Linked DNA regions of Arabidopsis thaliana. Each later gene encodes a partner of the first gene's protein in a complex. Each region holds a gene or a part of one and is shown on either strand. Other genes may lie near its edges.

Evidence for each region. The genes of interacting proteins can lie anywhere in the genome.
Region 2: AT1G69800 (region 1) and KIN10 share a complex: the UniProt entries of both Arabidopsis thaliana proteins name them as parts of the probable heterotrimeric complex.
Region 3: AT1G69800 (region 1) and SnRK1.3 share a complex: the UniProt entries of both Arabidopsis thaliana proteins name them as parts of the probable heterotrimeric complex.

Annotation. Positions count from the first base shown.
Region 1 is NC_003070.9:26,273,602-26,278,034, forward strand, and holds AT1G69800 (Cystathionine beta-synthase (CBS) protein), read right to left. Parts: upstream 2,729-4,433; 5' UTR 2,725-2,728; coding exon 2,677-2,724; exon of another isoform or gene 2,544-2,676; coding exon 2,327-2,543; intron 2,213-2,326; coding exon 1,770-2,212; intron 1,691-1,769; coding exon 1,424-1,690; intron 1,352-1,423; coding exon 1,179-1,351; coding exon of another isoform or gene 1,118-1,178; exon of another isoform or gene 1,098-1,117; coding exon 815-1,097; 3' UTR 629-814; downstream 1-628. Other genes in the region: WRKY36 (WRKY DNA-binding protein 36), read right to left, coding at 3,637-4,083, 4,172-4,285, 4,387-4,433. UniProt on the Arabidopsis thaliana protein: Regulatory subunit of the probable trimeric SNF1-related protein kinase (SnRK) complex, which may play a role in a signal transduction cascade regulating gene expression and carbohydrate metabolism in higher plants.
Region 2 is NC_003074.8:30,363-36,422, forward strand, and holds KIN10 (SNF1 kinase homolog 10), read right to left. Parts: upstream 4,126-6,060; 5' UTR 3,782-4,125; coding exon 3,716-3,781; intron 3,619-3,715; coding exon 3,426-3,618; intron 3,302-3,425; coding exon 3,117-3,301; intron 3,015-3,116; coding exon 2,832-3,014; intron 2,740-2,831; coding exon 2,608-2,739; intron 2,492-2,607; coding exon 2,306-2,491; intron 2,215-2,305; coding exon 2,125-2,214; intron 2,016-2,124; coding exon 1,932-2,015; intron 1,859-1,931; coding exon 1,721-1,858; intron 1,636-1,720; coding exon 1,399-1,635; intron 1,189-1,398; coding exon 1,075-1,188; 3' UTR 819-1,074; downstream 1-818. Other genes in the region: AT3G01085 (Protein kinase superfamily protein), read left to right, coding at 69-189, 450-460; HYP1 (hypothetical protein 1), read right to left, coding at 4,651-4,779, 4,960-5,193, 5,490-5,765, 5,852-6,060. UniProt on the Arabidopsis thaliana protein: Catalytic subunit of the probable trimeric SNF1-related protein kinase (SnRK) complex, a central regulator of cellular energy homeostasis, which, in response to seemingly unrelated darkness, sugar and stress conditions, activates energy-producing pathways and inhibits energy-consuming processes.
Region 3 is NC_003076.8:15,779,933-15,785,517, reverse strand, and holds SnRK1.3 (SNF1-related protein kinase 1.3), read right to left. Parts: upstream 3,612-5,585; coding exon 3,422-3,611; intron 2,972-3,421; coding exon 2,787-2,971; intron 2,687-2,786; coding exon 2,504-2,686; intron 2,410-2,503; coding exon 2,281-2,409; intron 2,204-2,280; coding exon 2,018-2,203; intron 1,932-2,017; coding exon 1,842-1,931; intron 1,753-1,841; coding exon 1,663-1,752; intron 1,566-1,662; coding exon 1,440-1,565; intron 1,295-1,439; coding exon 1,103-1,294; intron 933-1,102; coding exon 819-932; downstream 1-818. UniProt on the Arabidopsis thaliana protein: Catalytic subunit of the probable trimeric SNF1-related protein kinase (SnRK) complex, a central regulator of cellular energy homeostasis, which, in response to seemingly unrelated darkness, sugar and stress conditions, activates energy-producing pathways and inhibits energy-consuming processes.

The DNA.
Region 1 (4,433 bases):
TGTGCTTATGTAGCACACTGATGGGAATATTAAATATTATCTTGGCTCCTTATTACCAAAATTCCGACTTGGTTCATCCTCATATTTCCCGCATGTTTTGCCATTCAATGAAGAATATAGAATCTATGGTCCCTCCTTTAAAAACAATTCCATTGGCAAGTATCTATAGACTATAAATATGCAGTTTGGGTTGTCGCTAAGGTCAGTTGAGTAAGAGAAGAAGCATTTGCAAAAGAGACATAACATGTAAAGTCAAATGTCCCCTTGAGTTCCCTTAAACGCTTCATTGTTCATACTTTGTTATCATCTATCGATCGATCAATCAATCTGATGAACACTGAAGTGTTTGGGGGGACTCTAGGTGACATCTTGGCACCCACAGGCTATATTAATTATCGAGCGGTGTAGTCAACGGTTGAGGTGAGTTATGAGCCTTTTCATGAAGAAGATAAGTAATGTGGTTGGTTATTGATCTATCATTCATGAGTGAGTCATTTCATTTGTTAGTTATACAATTTGTTTCAAGCTGATTAAACTCTTAGTTTGGCTTCCCTGTAAGTTGAACTTAATCAGCTGCATTGAATTGGCGAGACTTACACAAACACAAATATGAAATTGAACAATCCATAAAACAGAAAATTTTTTATCCAATCATTACAGTACATATATATTTTCAATCCTAAGATGTCGTTAATGATAGAACTTTAAAACTCAAAATGGTTGGTTACAAATTAGATATAAAGACAACAACTTCAGAAATCTAAACCAAGAAAGAACAAACAACAAAGCCAAAAAAAAGCTGAGAAACAAGAGATCATCGGTTAAGCATTTCCTTAACCGAGAAACCGAGACAGTTCTCAAAGTAATTTGGAGGTTCTGATACGAAACAAGAGATCACATCCCTCAGTGTTATAACCCCATAAAGCTCATTCTCATCTCCAGCCGCTACATAAACCCGATGCACCGACCTCGAAGCCAAACTGTTTATAACACTCCCTAAAGTCGAATCAGGCCTACAAGTTATTGCAGGAATCGCTAAACCGTATTCCTCTCCCGCTGTAGCAATCTTTGTCGCGAAACTCTTCACCGTGAGTTGTCTTTATCATCAACAAAGAGATCATTCAGTCATCATTGTTACCAGAGAAGTTGTAATGAGAAACAAGTGAGTAAAAATAAACCTGAAATTGGAAAAGACTTCAGGTTGTAAAAGCAAATATCTAATGTCTCTCATGCTAATGTTACCAACAATCTTCTTATTCAACCCTTCAACTACAGGGAGACCACCAATGTTGTTGTCTCTCATCCTTTTAAATGCTTCAAGGATAAGTTCCTCACTCTCAATGCTAATAACCTGAAACCAACATGTTCAATTTCACCGGTTTACGAGCCTAATGTCATGACTTCTTAAAGTTTATTTTATTACCTCATTGGGTGACATAAACGGGAGGCCGAGATCAGAAATCGGGAGAGCGGAAATGTGATCAAACCAATCTCTACCTTTGCAACCTTCAAGACCATGAACAACTGCAGATTGAGTAACGTAGTTCTTGATATCCGGTTCTCCTGTTTTAATAACCGGCACATTTCTTAACCGATATTTCGAGAGTAACAACATAACACTCAACATCGAACTCTCTGTTGAAACCGGAAGAAAAGGAGCCCATCTAAACGACTTAAGTATTGTTCTAACCTGACAACATAAACATATATCCATGATCAATCAGGACCATCACAACACAAATAACTTAATGTTCTGTTAAAAAACTTACAGTGGTTGATTTAAAAGGCTCTTCTTGAAGAATAACTTCATAGAAATCTTTCCCCAACTTATCAGCAGCAGTTGGAGCATCTTTTCCAATCCCACGTTCAGCTGCAACACCACCAGCAACCGCGGCTCCAACCGCAGCTGCGGCTAGCCCCGCAGCAGCAACCGGACCGGTCATCCCGAGCGCTGCAACACCAAGAGCTCCAACAGCTCCAGCACCAACACCAGCAGCAGTTGCTGACGTAGCGGACAACGCGATTGCAGCGAGTTCAGCACTCTCTAGCACCCATAAGATGATTGAAGAGTAGTCAATGATTCCTAAATATCTTTCTCTCCAATCTAAAGAACTCTCGTGATCTGTGTTAATCACAGGAGCTGATAGAATCTTGCTATCTGATAAGATCTTTACTGCTTCTGATACAGGTGTTTCCGCTTGAATCTCTATCACTACGATCAAACAAAACACTAATTGAATCTAAACCATTGCCAAGTCTCAAACTTTAAACGAGAAATCAGGAAATTTGGAGGAATCGAAAAAAATGGGATCTTTCTAATTTTTACCTCTGCCGCCGGGGACTTGAGGGAAGGAGGAGACTGGGATTCCGGCGAAAGCAGAGTTTAGGGTTTCTTGAAGAGATTTGGGTAGATTCTTCCTTGATTGTACTTTCTCGAAATACGCTTCACAGCTTGAAACCGCCGATTTTATCTCCTTATCTTCTACCGCTTCACTTCCCGCCATGTCTTGATACCGGCTCAATTTGAAGAATTTCAAACAAATCTACGATGATTTTAGATTGGAAACGATGAAACCCAGAAGAAAAAAAGAGAGCTTTTTTGGTTAAGGAAAAAAAAAAGAGAGAATTTAGAACAGTGGTGAGTGTGGTCGGATAAGCAACGTGTCGGAGATGGACCTTTGGTTTCGCTTTTCTGGCGGTTACGCGCGTCCTGATGAAGTGCATTGACACGTGACGTTATAATAAGTGGTCGTGTGTCAAAAGAGTTTAACAGCGTTATAACCGGAGTCGCTGACGTGGATGGGCCGAATTCTAAGATAGAAAACGGTAGTAACGGGCCTGAGCCCAAGATTGATTTAAAAGTAATATCTGATGGATCATAGTTTCATACGTTTTCTTTCTTTTGGTCATTTTGTTTTCTTTCCTTTTTAAGAATCGACCATCTAAACATTTAGGTGGCTCAAACAATTCAGACATCTTCATTTCGGTCAAATTCATCACAAATTTATATTTGATAATTGAGGGAAGTAAAATAATCAATTCTTTTATGTAAATAATTTTAATGGTGACTACAATTTTGACCATCAAATTAGTAAATGTCTGTAGCAAAAAATAATAATAATCAAATTAGTAAACAATACGTATGTGATTTCAAATAATAATACGTTGTGTTGATAATTTGTCAAATAACCCACTATTTTATGTGATGCTAACTAAAGTTTATTTTGTAAAAATCAAACAATTTTGCAAAAGTGAAAGAGGGAGATTTTGTCAATCTGCATGAAAACCACCTTCCATTTTAGATATCATTGTGTCATCATAGTCATACTTACTTAATTCACCAACAAAAAAAATTAACATTGTATTTAAAATTTTTATAAGCATAAAAAAATATTTGGTGTATCAAATTTGTGTAGACCATTAATTTACAAAACCTTCATATACATATATAATCCATGATATGATAGGTAATCCACTAATTTAAACATTTGGATATCTACAAGTATATAAGCATTTTGCATATCATGCCAAAACCAGATCTCTCTTTCAGAGGCTGAAAAACAAATGAATGACAAAGAAAACGGAAATCAGTTACTTTCTAGACTTGTGTCTAGCTATACCGATACAGTTACTGGCTTATTGCTGTCCGGAAAGTCTCGTTCGATAACGGGCCAATAATGAATCTGTACTCAACGGAGCTTGTGTTCGCAAGCCACTAAAGTTCAAGGTGTGGTCATGCGATGATGGAGGTGGAGGATCTGGAGAGGAAAAGTTGAGACTGAAAGAGGAGGACGATAGAGGGTAGTCGTCTGGTAACTGATTGGGATAGTTTGGTCGTGTGAGGTCCAATGTTACAGTCGGGTGCGAGTTAGTGGTGGAGATAGAGAAGTGGTGAAAAGGGAAGAAATAGCTTAGACTCGCTGAGGTGGAGGAGGAGGAAGAGGAGGAGCCAGATTGTAATAAGGAGGCAGCCGCGGAAGTTCCAGCTGCCATGTGGCTTGCTTCCATGGGGAGAGGATGGTCATGGTTTCCTTCGTACGTTGTCATAAAAGCGGAGGTTTCTTCTTCTCCACATCTTTGCACCTATAGACATTCGTTTTAAAAGTTTTTACTCAAAACCAATTGTTAATAAACAGATATTTGGATTGAGAAATTATAGAATGTATTATACCTGTTTTCTAACGGGACAATTTGACGACATGGAGCAACGGTAATAGGCTCGTGGGAGAGGATTGGTTTTCGCAGTCTTTTGACCATATTTCCTCCACTGGCAACCGTCGTTTATCTATATATATTCATGTAACGTGTATATGATCAAATAATTAAATTAGATGTGAAATGGTAAATAAACACATATATGTAATGTATGGTTTTGATGGTACGTACTGATGGGTCTTCACATGATGCTTTAACACAAACCCTAGTTTTCTTCA
Region 2 (6,060 bases), on another chromosome or scaffold:
AAATTGAACCCGGTACCATCTAAACCGGCAGTTGGAATTCAATTTTAATTTTTGATAAAATCATGCAGGATTTGACGAATCTTGGGGCGAATCCGAAGATTTTTCAAACAAATGGGATGAATGAAATATTACGGAGGACTGAAAGTGATGTTAGAGTTGGTGTTCGAAGACCACCACGAATAGAGAGAGGTTAAAATTTGGGGAAAAAGCGAATTAAATTACCAGAATTTTTAGCCAAAGATATATATACATTTTTTACCTACCATCATGATTTGTAGTCCATATTTGTTTAATTTTTCATTTAAAAAAAAAAGCCCAAGTCAGTGTGAAATTATTCAATTTCAGGTTTACCAAAAGATAATTGTGTCTTTTTTTATTATTATTACAAATTTCCTTGTATTTTTGTGAGAGTTTATCTCACACTTGATGTGTTTTTTTTTTTTTTGCAGGAGAAGATTAACTGGTAGGTAAAACCACACGTTGGAAACTTTTGAAATTCTTTTTGGGCTTGTTTTTGAGTTTGTATAGTTTTTGGATCTTAGTTCGAAATAAACACATCAAGCTCATCCTAAATGTTCGTTTTTCAATGTCTTAATATTAGTAGGATGACAAAAACAAAAAACAACTATTTTTGAATTTGCTAATTTGTTTACACAAAAAATATAGTGTAATATTGACCCATCAAATAATACACGAAACAAAAACAACTACTTCTGAATTTGCTAATTTGTTTTCAATGAAACTAATTTAAACATCTTTCCTTCAATTTTTGTCAAAATGTCTTTCCCTTAACTTATTGATTTTAATCATAAGAAATATGGAGTAAACAAAAACAAAAATCAATCTTGGTGGCATGATGCACTACAAGTTATGTACAAAGTGTCTTTTTTTTACTCTTGCTCAGTCTTACATTTAAGTTAAAAGAGGTATTTGAGTAGAGCACGCATATAGAAATAGAAAGAAAGAGAAGAAGAAAAAAAGGGTTACGTTTTCTAAATAATTTCTTAGACGAATAAGAAAAAAAAAAAAAAAGGAATAAGTGGGGATTATTCTTGAAGAGGTCCGGTTTAGTATTCAGAGGACTCGGAGCTGAGCAAGAAAAGCAGCACACAGATCCAAGAACAAGAACTGAGGACCTTGTACTCTCTGCAAATCCAGTAGATACTTGTCGTCCCGAGTTTTATACAACTGTTTCACCATCAACAATAACAAACGTCATCAAGCCCAGAAAATATTGATTGATAGTTAGATTCATGAAGATTCACTCTAGTTCTAATTCAGTTACAAAAATGGCCATGGACACTAATACACAAAGCTTTCTTTCACTCGAAATCACACATCAGAAACAATGTCGTACGGGAAACCGATATGTATCATGAAGTGGAGAAGAGGATTTACCTGAATTTCAAACTTGACAACATTGGGCGACTTAACAGCTGCTTCGTTCTCTATTATGCTGGACTCGTCTCCAAAGTAGTTGTTATCGTGCATCGAGTTACTGAGCATACCATCTGCGCTGCTGTTAGGAACCCATCTGCACTTCATGTTGTAGTGCCCTATCTTCTTCCAACATACATTCAAATCTTGCAGGGCTTTCAGGACTTCCGTCATTATTTCACGGGGATGAGCCCGAGACTGTGCGATCAAATTGTTACAATATTAATCACATATATATCAAAAGCTGAAGTCTTTATACCATAAATACAGAAAATATCAAAACCTGAAGTCCAAGAGCCCATTTTCTCTCAACAGGGTATTGAGATCTCAAGCCAACTCCTTGATATTCCATCAGTCCTGGAAGCCGATGGCTAACAGGTGAAGCAACGCTTTCTGCTGGATGCATACGGGGAGTACCTTCCTGATTAAATCAAACAATGAAGCATTACGTCAAAGATCTTTTGCTAAAGTCGAAAAGGACAAAAAAGACTAACCATGGTCTCTTGAAACTCAGCCCCGAGATAACCACTAGAGGCACGGAAACGATTGTCCAGTATCAGATAGTACGTCACAGTGCCCTGGAAGACAGTCGGTAAGAATACAGTATTTAAGATCTTTTGATGGAATTTTTTTTAATCTTTGAAATGAAAGAAACAGCAAAAGAACAAGTGGGTGGGAAACACATACATCATTCTGGGTTCGGTTGCGGAGCGATTCGATGAGGTGGTTTCTGTCAAATCCCATATTGATAACTTCTTGGAGAATCTCCTCGTCAATCTACAAATGAAGACAGCGCTTTTACGCCTTTATCGAAAAATGGGAATAGAGATTTCTCTAATGAAAATAAGAGTAGATACGTTAGGCTTACCTTTTTTGCCTGTTGCACAGTATCTGGAGGAGGAACAGCTAAATACCTCGGAAGATGAGCTTGGAACCAAGGGTGTTGCCGGATCTCAGGGATGGTTACTCGTTTCATGGGGTCAACTACAAGCATCCGGGGGATCAAATCTCTAGCACCAGGAGATAAATGGCTAGGTAATGTGTATATCCCTCCCTATAGGACGAAAAGAGAAAAAAAAAAGGTTACAGTCGAAGGGTGATACGAAAAATAAAATAAAAAATTCAAGCATTAGTTCAAATAGACGAAAGAGGAGGAGTAATAGAATGTACCTTTATCTTCTTAAAAAGGTTGGGAATGTTTTCATCATCAAATGGAAGCGTCCCACAGAGAAGAGCGTAGAGTATCACACCACAGCTCCAGACATCTACTTCAGGGCCAGCATATAACTTGCCCGAAATTACCTGAAACAATTTATAGATCTCGACTATAACCTATCATTTGAAACAAGCCTAATTATAGTATTCCTCAGATACCTGAGGGCTGAAGCACTTACCTCTGGAGCGGCATAATTTGGACTTCCACAACTTGTCTTCAAAAAATGACCATCTCGCATTATGTTGCTCAGGCCAAAATCAGCAATCTTTACATTGCATTTAGAGTCCAAAAGCAAGTTTTCAGGCTTGAGGTCTCTGTGAACCACCATGTTTCGATGGCAGTATTCCACTCCTGATATTATCTACATCAAAGCCAAGTAGCTAATTCTTAACTCTCAAATATAATATAAAATCGAATGGTTGCTTGGAAAGTTACATGTTGATAAAATAAAATAAAAACATACCTGCTGAAAAAAGTTCCTCGCCTCATCCTCCTGCAATCTACCCTTCTCAACAATATAGTCAAATAGCTCACCAGAGTTCACATACTCCATGACAAGATAAATATCTGTGGGAGTCTCTATAACCTCATAGAGACGGATGATGTGAGGATGCATAAATAGTCTCAAGATTTTGATCTCTCTCCTCACTGCATCAAAGACCAAATAAGTTCAAAGGAAGGAAGACGAAAAAGAAGCTATATATTTATATATTCCAAGAGTACCGTGAAGTCACAACTAAGGTGGAATGGATACACAAAACAAAACTTGTACCTTTCTCCTCCATCTCCATGTTCTTGATTTTGCGACGATTGAGGATCTTGATAGCAACCTTATGTCCTGTCAATGCATGCTCAGCTATCTTCACCCTACCAAAGGAACCAATACCAAGAGTTCTCCCAAGCTTGTAATTTGGTAGAATCGATTCTACCCCACTTCTACTGCCTGTGCCTGATCCATCCATTCTCTACAAAAAAAGAGAGAGAGATATTAGATCTACTAGTACACAACACACAAAACAAACTGCAAAAGAGTAATAGGAACAAAAAGCAAGTAATTTTTACACTTTTGAAGATTCTGTGATCGATCGTTGAAGAAACTAAATTAAACTCATCTACTCGTTTGAACATGAGAATTTAGCGAGAATTAGGATCCCTTTTATTATCCAGAATAAACCAACCAACACTAAGAAGAGAGCTTAAAATAGCAATTTTCAGACTATCCCCAATTCGGAATATGAACCCTAATAATAATTCAATCGCAGAGGATTACTGGATCTCTCGTACCCGATTCAGAAATGACGATTTCAAGATCAATCCATTGATTTGCAAAAGGGCGAGAATTTTTTTTATTTCCGAAATAAGAAAATTGAGAGATATCGAAACTTACCAAAAATTAAAAAAGGCGGAGGAGAAAATTCGGAACCAAAAAATGCAGCAAAAAAAAGTCCCAAAATTTTCTGAGCTGAAAAAGTAAAATTGAGGAAGATCCAGAGATCAGCTTAAACCCAGAAATTATTGATAGATTCTTCCTCTCGCTTTCATTGCTCTCGCTCCTGTAGCCTATAAGGCGCAAGCAAGTATCAAAGACGAAATTATTTGATTTTTGGTTCCATAAACGGATCAATCTTTAACTAAATTACCCCCAGAGTTACGACTAATTACAATATATACCCCCATGCGGACGTGGCATCTAGTCATCATCTTTTTGCTAAATATTCTCTGTGGTAAAATTATTAACCACCGTTTTGTTTTGGCATCTTTCAAAAAGTTTGTACCGTCTTAAACCGGTTTAGAGAGATACATTGACATAAACTTTTTTTCTTTTTTACACAAGCCAAGTGTAAGCAAATGTACAAGACAAAAACCGCTTGATTCTCGGTTAAGACCCAATGTACAAGACAACCGGTTTAGTGTGTTCTTTCATGGATTGCACCAGGTATAGTAAACCAACAGCTTCAACATAAGCAAACTTCAATAGCTCAAGTAAAAAGGTGATCTCAAGGTGAGATATCTCTCGAGTCCTGTGATGCCGAAAGTGCAGGATCTCGGTAAGCAACAACGAGTTCCGAATAGAATTCAGACATGTTTTGCTCTCTCTCGTCTGCTTTATCTTTGTTTACCAGACACTGCAAAAGTAAAACATCCATCATCACCATATAAAGGTTTAGAGTAGATGCTGTAATGTAATAAAGGACTATGCATCATGTTCTGTTTGTTTTGTTTAGGTTAGGAATAAAAGATTATCTAGCCATATTTTTCTTCCATTGGATCAAAAATATGAGTAACTATTTCTCTAAAGCCTTTACCTGGGTAGGATAAGATTTGAAATTTGGTAAAAACCGTCTTTGGCAGTAAATGCTGAAAAGGACCGTGAGAACCGGAAGGGGAATTGTTAAAGAAGATGCCACTGGAAGCTCTTTAAGCCCGAATAATCCGACTGCAATAATGTGCATTAGTACCAAAGAGAAGATAGTATAGCTGTGAACTATTGGCCAAAACTTTCCACCAGTTTCATACTTGGCCGCATATACGTTTAGGAGCTGCAGCACAAAAAGGTGATGTTATTTCTATCAACAAGTTGCAATGGATTCATTAAGAAGAAAAAGAATTATGTGACGAGAAAATGGATTCTTGATGTAACGTTTATGTCATGACTGAAGCTCCAAAAAATACTTTCGGTTTAAAGATGCTATTCGAGAATTTAGAAAAGGGATCACATATAAAGAGAAGATAAAAGTGAGATTCCATATAACGAAAATATGTGTAGCTGATTCCTATATGATTTTATCAGAGATCAACAGAGAATTATACTTAGGAGTGAGATTGGTTCCGTTACCTGGTTGCGGTAGATGATATATCCAAGACAATAGTAGACCAACAAGAAAGGCAGTATCAATGGCGAAAGGAAGAAGTAAGTTATACCGAGGAGTCCAAAAAATAGAATCCTTGGGATTTCTTGGCAGAAAGGAGTTGAAGGAACCTCAAATTCTTTGTCATCTTCCTTGCCGAAAAGTTTCGTTATGAAACTCCAAAGAAGAGGAACCAAACGGAGGATCTCTGATGATAAACCAGTCCATCCAGAGGTCACAACATAAGATACAAAGAACGATGCCTACACCAAAGATTAAACAATAAACATGACTCGTGGTACGAAAAGGGAATTCCGGAAACCTCAATACTGAATTTTGTGTTCTTTACCTGTGCTGGCACAGCTGCAGCAAGCACACGAGGAATAGTCTTAGGTTCAAGGAACACATTAACACGATAAAGGGCAGATCCGGACAGTACATTTGCAAAGAAACTGTTCCATACAGTAAAGATTAGAAGCTTGATACATGCAGATTTCTCAATCTGGCTATGAGAAATGAATCCTTGCATTGAGGAAAGTAGAAGCATAATGGGTGGTA
Region 3 (5,585 bases), on another chromosome or scaffold:
TTTTGTGTCTCGTAAAAACAGTCTCTAAACTACTTAAACCAAGTCAAATATTAGACGTAGAAATAAAGGTATTTTGTTAAACACGTTATTACGATGGTTTTCAAAGTGATGCTGATTGGTTTATATAGATGGGTTTCAATGACAAAAATCTAATGTTACAGTTTAGTTTTCTTTGTAATAAAAAATACTAGAAGAATAACGTACGCTACAATATAATACTGCTGACGTTACTTTTGACGATACTCGAGTGTTTTTGAGTCAGACACACTAAACGAAATTGGATAGACAATATGAGAATTCTAAGAGATGAGGAGAAATAAATTGTGTGTCTGACTGAGGAGTTTCTCGTGAAGCTCCATGAGAGTTGGTTGTGTATCTTTGGTCTTTAGTTTGATCAATCACCGATTTGTAATCTCTTAGAAGGTAAATATATATTCAACTTGATCTGTGATCAATCACTTTGCTAAACAGAGTTAATTGATCAAATGTGGTTTCATTAAATTATATTTTAGAAATATAAAAAAATCTATGAAAATGCATGTACTGTGTGTTTTTCAAACAAAATTGGCATCATAAATCGAGAAAGTGTAAAAAGTACATGCATTTTCCAAAACTTAATGCAAAAAAAAATACAATCTATCTTCTTTTTTTTTTTGTTTATTGTCAAGGATTACTTAATCCATAAATACAGAAACATAGAAAACATAATTGAATTTAAAACATTGAAGCAATAATCATCGAAAAAACATTGATGAAATGAGCTTTAGAGGACCTAGCTAACCGCAATAATCATCTAAAACACCAGTGATGGTTGAGCTTTAGAGGACACCTAGCTCTCTGAGAAACGCAACACATAGATCAAAGAAGATAAACTGAGGTCCATCAATTCTTAGGATGTCCAGCAAATATTTGCCTTCGCGTACTTTGTATAGCTATAACAACAACCAAAATGATACAAATTAGGTTTGCATTTAAGAAATTGCTCTAAATAGATTTTAACAATGTAAATTGTTGATAATTTTATATTCGCATCAAAACAAAAAAAATTGTTATTTATGGACTATTAAATTATAGTATAATATCTTAAATTGGATAAATATACCTGAATTTCAAATTTGATGACGGTCGGTAAGATGATGGCACATTCATCCTCAATTGTATGATTCTTATAGTAAGCAAAGCTTCGGACCCATCTACATTTTATATTGTAGAGTCCGATTTTTTTCCAGCATATTTTTAGATTTTGAAGAGCTTTAAAAATTTCAGTCATGATATCATAAGGACTCCCTTGAGACTGTCAAAATTCCAAACAATTATTTTGATATATATATTGATAAACTGTTTTGAATAGAAAGAAAATTAAGAAAACATGAGACGAAATTGAATGCTAAAGTAACATGAACAACAATGGATTAAACATTAACCATGCATGGACTAACCTGAAGTCCAAGGGTCCATGTTTTGTCATCTTTGACATTGGATTTTAGTCCATACAATGCCGAAAATGAATGGCCAACATGTGAAGTAATATTTTGAACTGGTAACGTCGAATTAAATATACCATCCTATATTTGTAGGATTAAAACGAAAATATAATTATATAGAGAAGTAATGTTTATTTATTTTTCTTAAATTCAGGTTGTAGAGAAAGAGAGTAAGTACCGAAATCTCTTTAAACTTGGATTGGAAAGGGTCATTGGGAACAGAATTTTGGTTTCGGTTGTCTAGGATTAGATGGTATGCAACTGTAGCCTAAAGTAACGAAATTTAACTTGAGTATCATTTATAAAACTATTTTGAGTATAATAGGATTATTATATGAAATATGAAAACACTCATACCTCGTTTTGGATTCTATTGGCAAGAGAATCAACAACATGGTTTCTATCAAACCCTATGTTAACCACGTTTTGAATTATCTCCTCCTCAATCTAGAAAGAGTAAAATTGATACAAAATTAACTGAATTCATAAAAATGATGTTATTTTGGTACAATTTAATGAAAACAAATTCTAACCTTTTTAGCTTGGTCTATGGTATCTAATGGAGGAATAGAAAGATAAAGAGGAAGATGATTATTGAACCAAGGATGTTGACGAATCTCAGTAATGCTAATTCTCATAGTAGGATCAACCATAAGCATTCTCGGTATCAAATCTCTAGCAAAATGTGATAAATGATTTGGAAGAGTATACATTCCTCTCTAAAGAAATAGAGAAAAAATTCATAACCATGTGTAATATATATGATTTTTATAAAAAGATCGTTGTTTATTAATACCTTTATTTTCTCGAATACATTAGGAATATTTTCGTCATCGAAAGGAAGAGTACCACACAACAGAGCATATAATATCACCCCACAACTCCATATATCTACATCTGGTCCATATGGTTTTCCTGAAATAACCTATATAAATAAGTTTCAGGTGTGAGTAATTGATACTTCAAATATATATCCAAATTCATGAAATAAAAATGAAGAATATGTTAATCTCTTATACCTCTGGAGCAGCATAATTAGGGCTTCCACAACTAGTCTTTAAAAAATGACCATCATGCATGACATTACTCAATCCAAAGTCAACAATCTTTATGTTGCATTGCGAATCCAAAAGCACATTCTCGGGCTTAAGATCTCTATGAACGATCATATTGCGATGACAATACTCTACACCAGATATGATCTGAGAATATATGGTTTAAATAAAAGTGTTGCCAATCGAAAAGGATATAAGGTTTTATGAAATACAAAATGTTTGGATAAATACTATATATATACCAAACCTGCTGAAAAAGATGACGAGCCTCGTCTTCCTGTAATTTACCTTTCTCTACAATATAGTCAAATAGTTCTCCAGACTTAACATATTCCATCACAACATAAATGTCATTTGGCGTCTCTATAACTTCATATTGACGGATGATATGAGGATGCATCAAAAATCTGAGAATTTTGATCTCCCTTTGTACTACAAGAGACTTAAACAATTTCATTTATTAAGATTACTAATAAATAACAACGATTATATAAGACATAAAGCGTAATATTTTTTTGCCACATAAAGTAGTCCAAAAAAAAAAACAAATCATAACAGTGACCTATATTAATGAACAGTCTTTCGGCTTCGAGACCTAAGATTCGGATAAAGTATTTTCGTAGAAAAAAACAGATTTTAAAATAAAAATATTTTTCTGATTTCTCAGTATTAAAATACAATCCATACCAAATAAACTTGTAATTATATTATCAAAACCAAAAATTATTGATCATGGTGGTTGCCGAAATCTCGTAGACCTATTAGATCTCGTGAAGAAAAATAAAGATACATCTATATATACATTTAGAGAGGTGTTATACCTCCTCTAATCTTTTGTACAAATGAAAAAAGAGTAACAAAATTGAAGTAAATAATACATACCTTTGATCTCAATACCCATGTTCTTAATCTTAGAGCGATTAAGAATTTTGATAGCAACTTTGTGACCAGTAGCTACATGCAGTGCTAATTTCACTTTCGCAAAGGATCCATGTCCAAGAGTCTTACCAATCCTATAATTTGGTAGAATCGATACTAATTTATTGGTAGTTTTTTCCGATGATCCATCCATTTTAATTACTATAGATAATAAAACCTGAAATATAAAAAAGAAATATATAATTAAACCTCTATAACAAAAATATATATCAAGGTAAAATATCAATAAAATGGACGGATTATGAGAAAAAAACTACCTATAAAATGAACAATAAAAAATAATTGATGGTGAATCTAACTAGAAAATCCACCAAAAGGTGATACGCCCCAAATCAAAATCATATTTTAGCAAAATTCATTTCGTTCACTATATGAATAGGTCCCCTAGTTGAAGGAAGAAATTTGTGGTTTGACTGATTGTCTAAACCGATAAAAATCAGTAAATTTTCATAAAATTCATAGATTTTGTTTCTAACAAAAACCTTCAAATTGAACAGAATTTTTTTTGGAAAAATGATTTAGACGTAGAAGACTCTTAACATAATCTTATAGAGTATGGTTGATGCAAGAAAAAAATGGAACCCATGATACAAATTATATGAGCATGCACACGAAAAATTGCACCACTAGAAAATTGAGGAAAAGTACAAGAAAAGAGTCTATGGGCACATATATTATCATCTTTCCTTTGTTTTTACTCTCCTTTGCTGAGGTAAATCTGAGTCACACTGTTGACTAATGGTATCACACTTTTTTCATGAATCATATTAAACAATAAATTAATTTACACACAACCATGTTAAGAAGTAGATCAGTTTCTGTTTTAACTTAATAGTAATTACCTAATTATGACAAAAATATAAAATATATTAGTAAAATGGTTAGATTTTAATATTTTATACAGTTTTTAGAATCTAATTATTCAACATTTTGAAGACAGAAATATCTTTCCTGATATACAAGTTGCCATTAATGTGAGTGGGTACTTTGACTAACCATACAATGAATATTTCTTTCTTATTTTAATTTAGAATATACATATATAAAGAAAATTTCCAACGGAGAATGTTTTGTAAGAAATTAGAAAAAATCAATGAGTTTTTATTGGTGAGATATTTAAATAGTAATAATAATCTTTAATTTGAAGTAGATTTACTAGTTAATACTTTTAAATATTGTGATTTAGATTTTTGTGATGAGAGATAAATTTTTAATACGTACTGAAAAAAGTGTAACACCCTTTTTACATTTCCATAAAAATTAGATTATACATTTAAAAAGATTTTTTTGTATTATAAATATTTTTTTATAAGTTATTATATAACTAAAACTAAAATTACTATTCAAAACCGCGATGAAATGTTCAAAATAGTGTATTTTTGTGGGAAACGAGAAAAGCCTAAGACTATATCTTCTTTGCATGCCCTTTCACATACACTAAAATATGGCTAGATCTTGTTGAAAGAGTCATTAGAACTGCCACAGACCCATAGATTAGCTGATTTTTTTTTTTTCAATTTATGTTCAGTTCAGTTCTATTATCACTATGAACCATTTTATCGGGTTTGCCAAAAAAAATTCATGTATGTAAAAAATTCGTCAAGATTTGTCTAACTTTTTATTTTTAAAGTAAAAGATAAAAAATCAATGATAATCGTTAGGAAATAGACAACACCATGGAGATGGTAAACAAGTAAACAAATAAACATTACTTTATTTGGTATATGATTGAAACAATTTATTTGGATTATTTATTAAGTCTGTTTTTTTTTCTTTTAAACTAAATTAGTTTTTTTTACCAAAAAAAGACAAATATAACTTCAAAGTGGAGGTGTATGCTAGAAAATAAATGGACAACAGAAAAAGACTAAAACAATACATTAAATTTGAACAAATCTGTATATGTAATCAAAAAAAATATCAGTGTGCCTCGTGTCCTCCTGAATCGCTAAGAAAAGGATTATTGCCACAAGAAAAGGATTATTGCCATAAAATTTTCAACAGAAGAGACCTGAATAATGTGTTGCAGTTATCAACAATCAGGTTCTCAACTAACACTTATCAATTAAAGTCTAAACAAAACCAAACATTCTATGTATATACATAT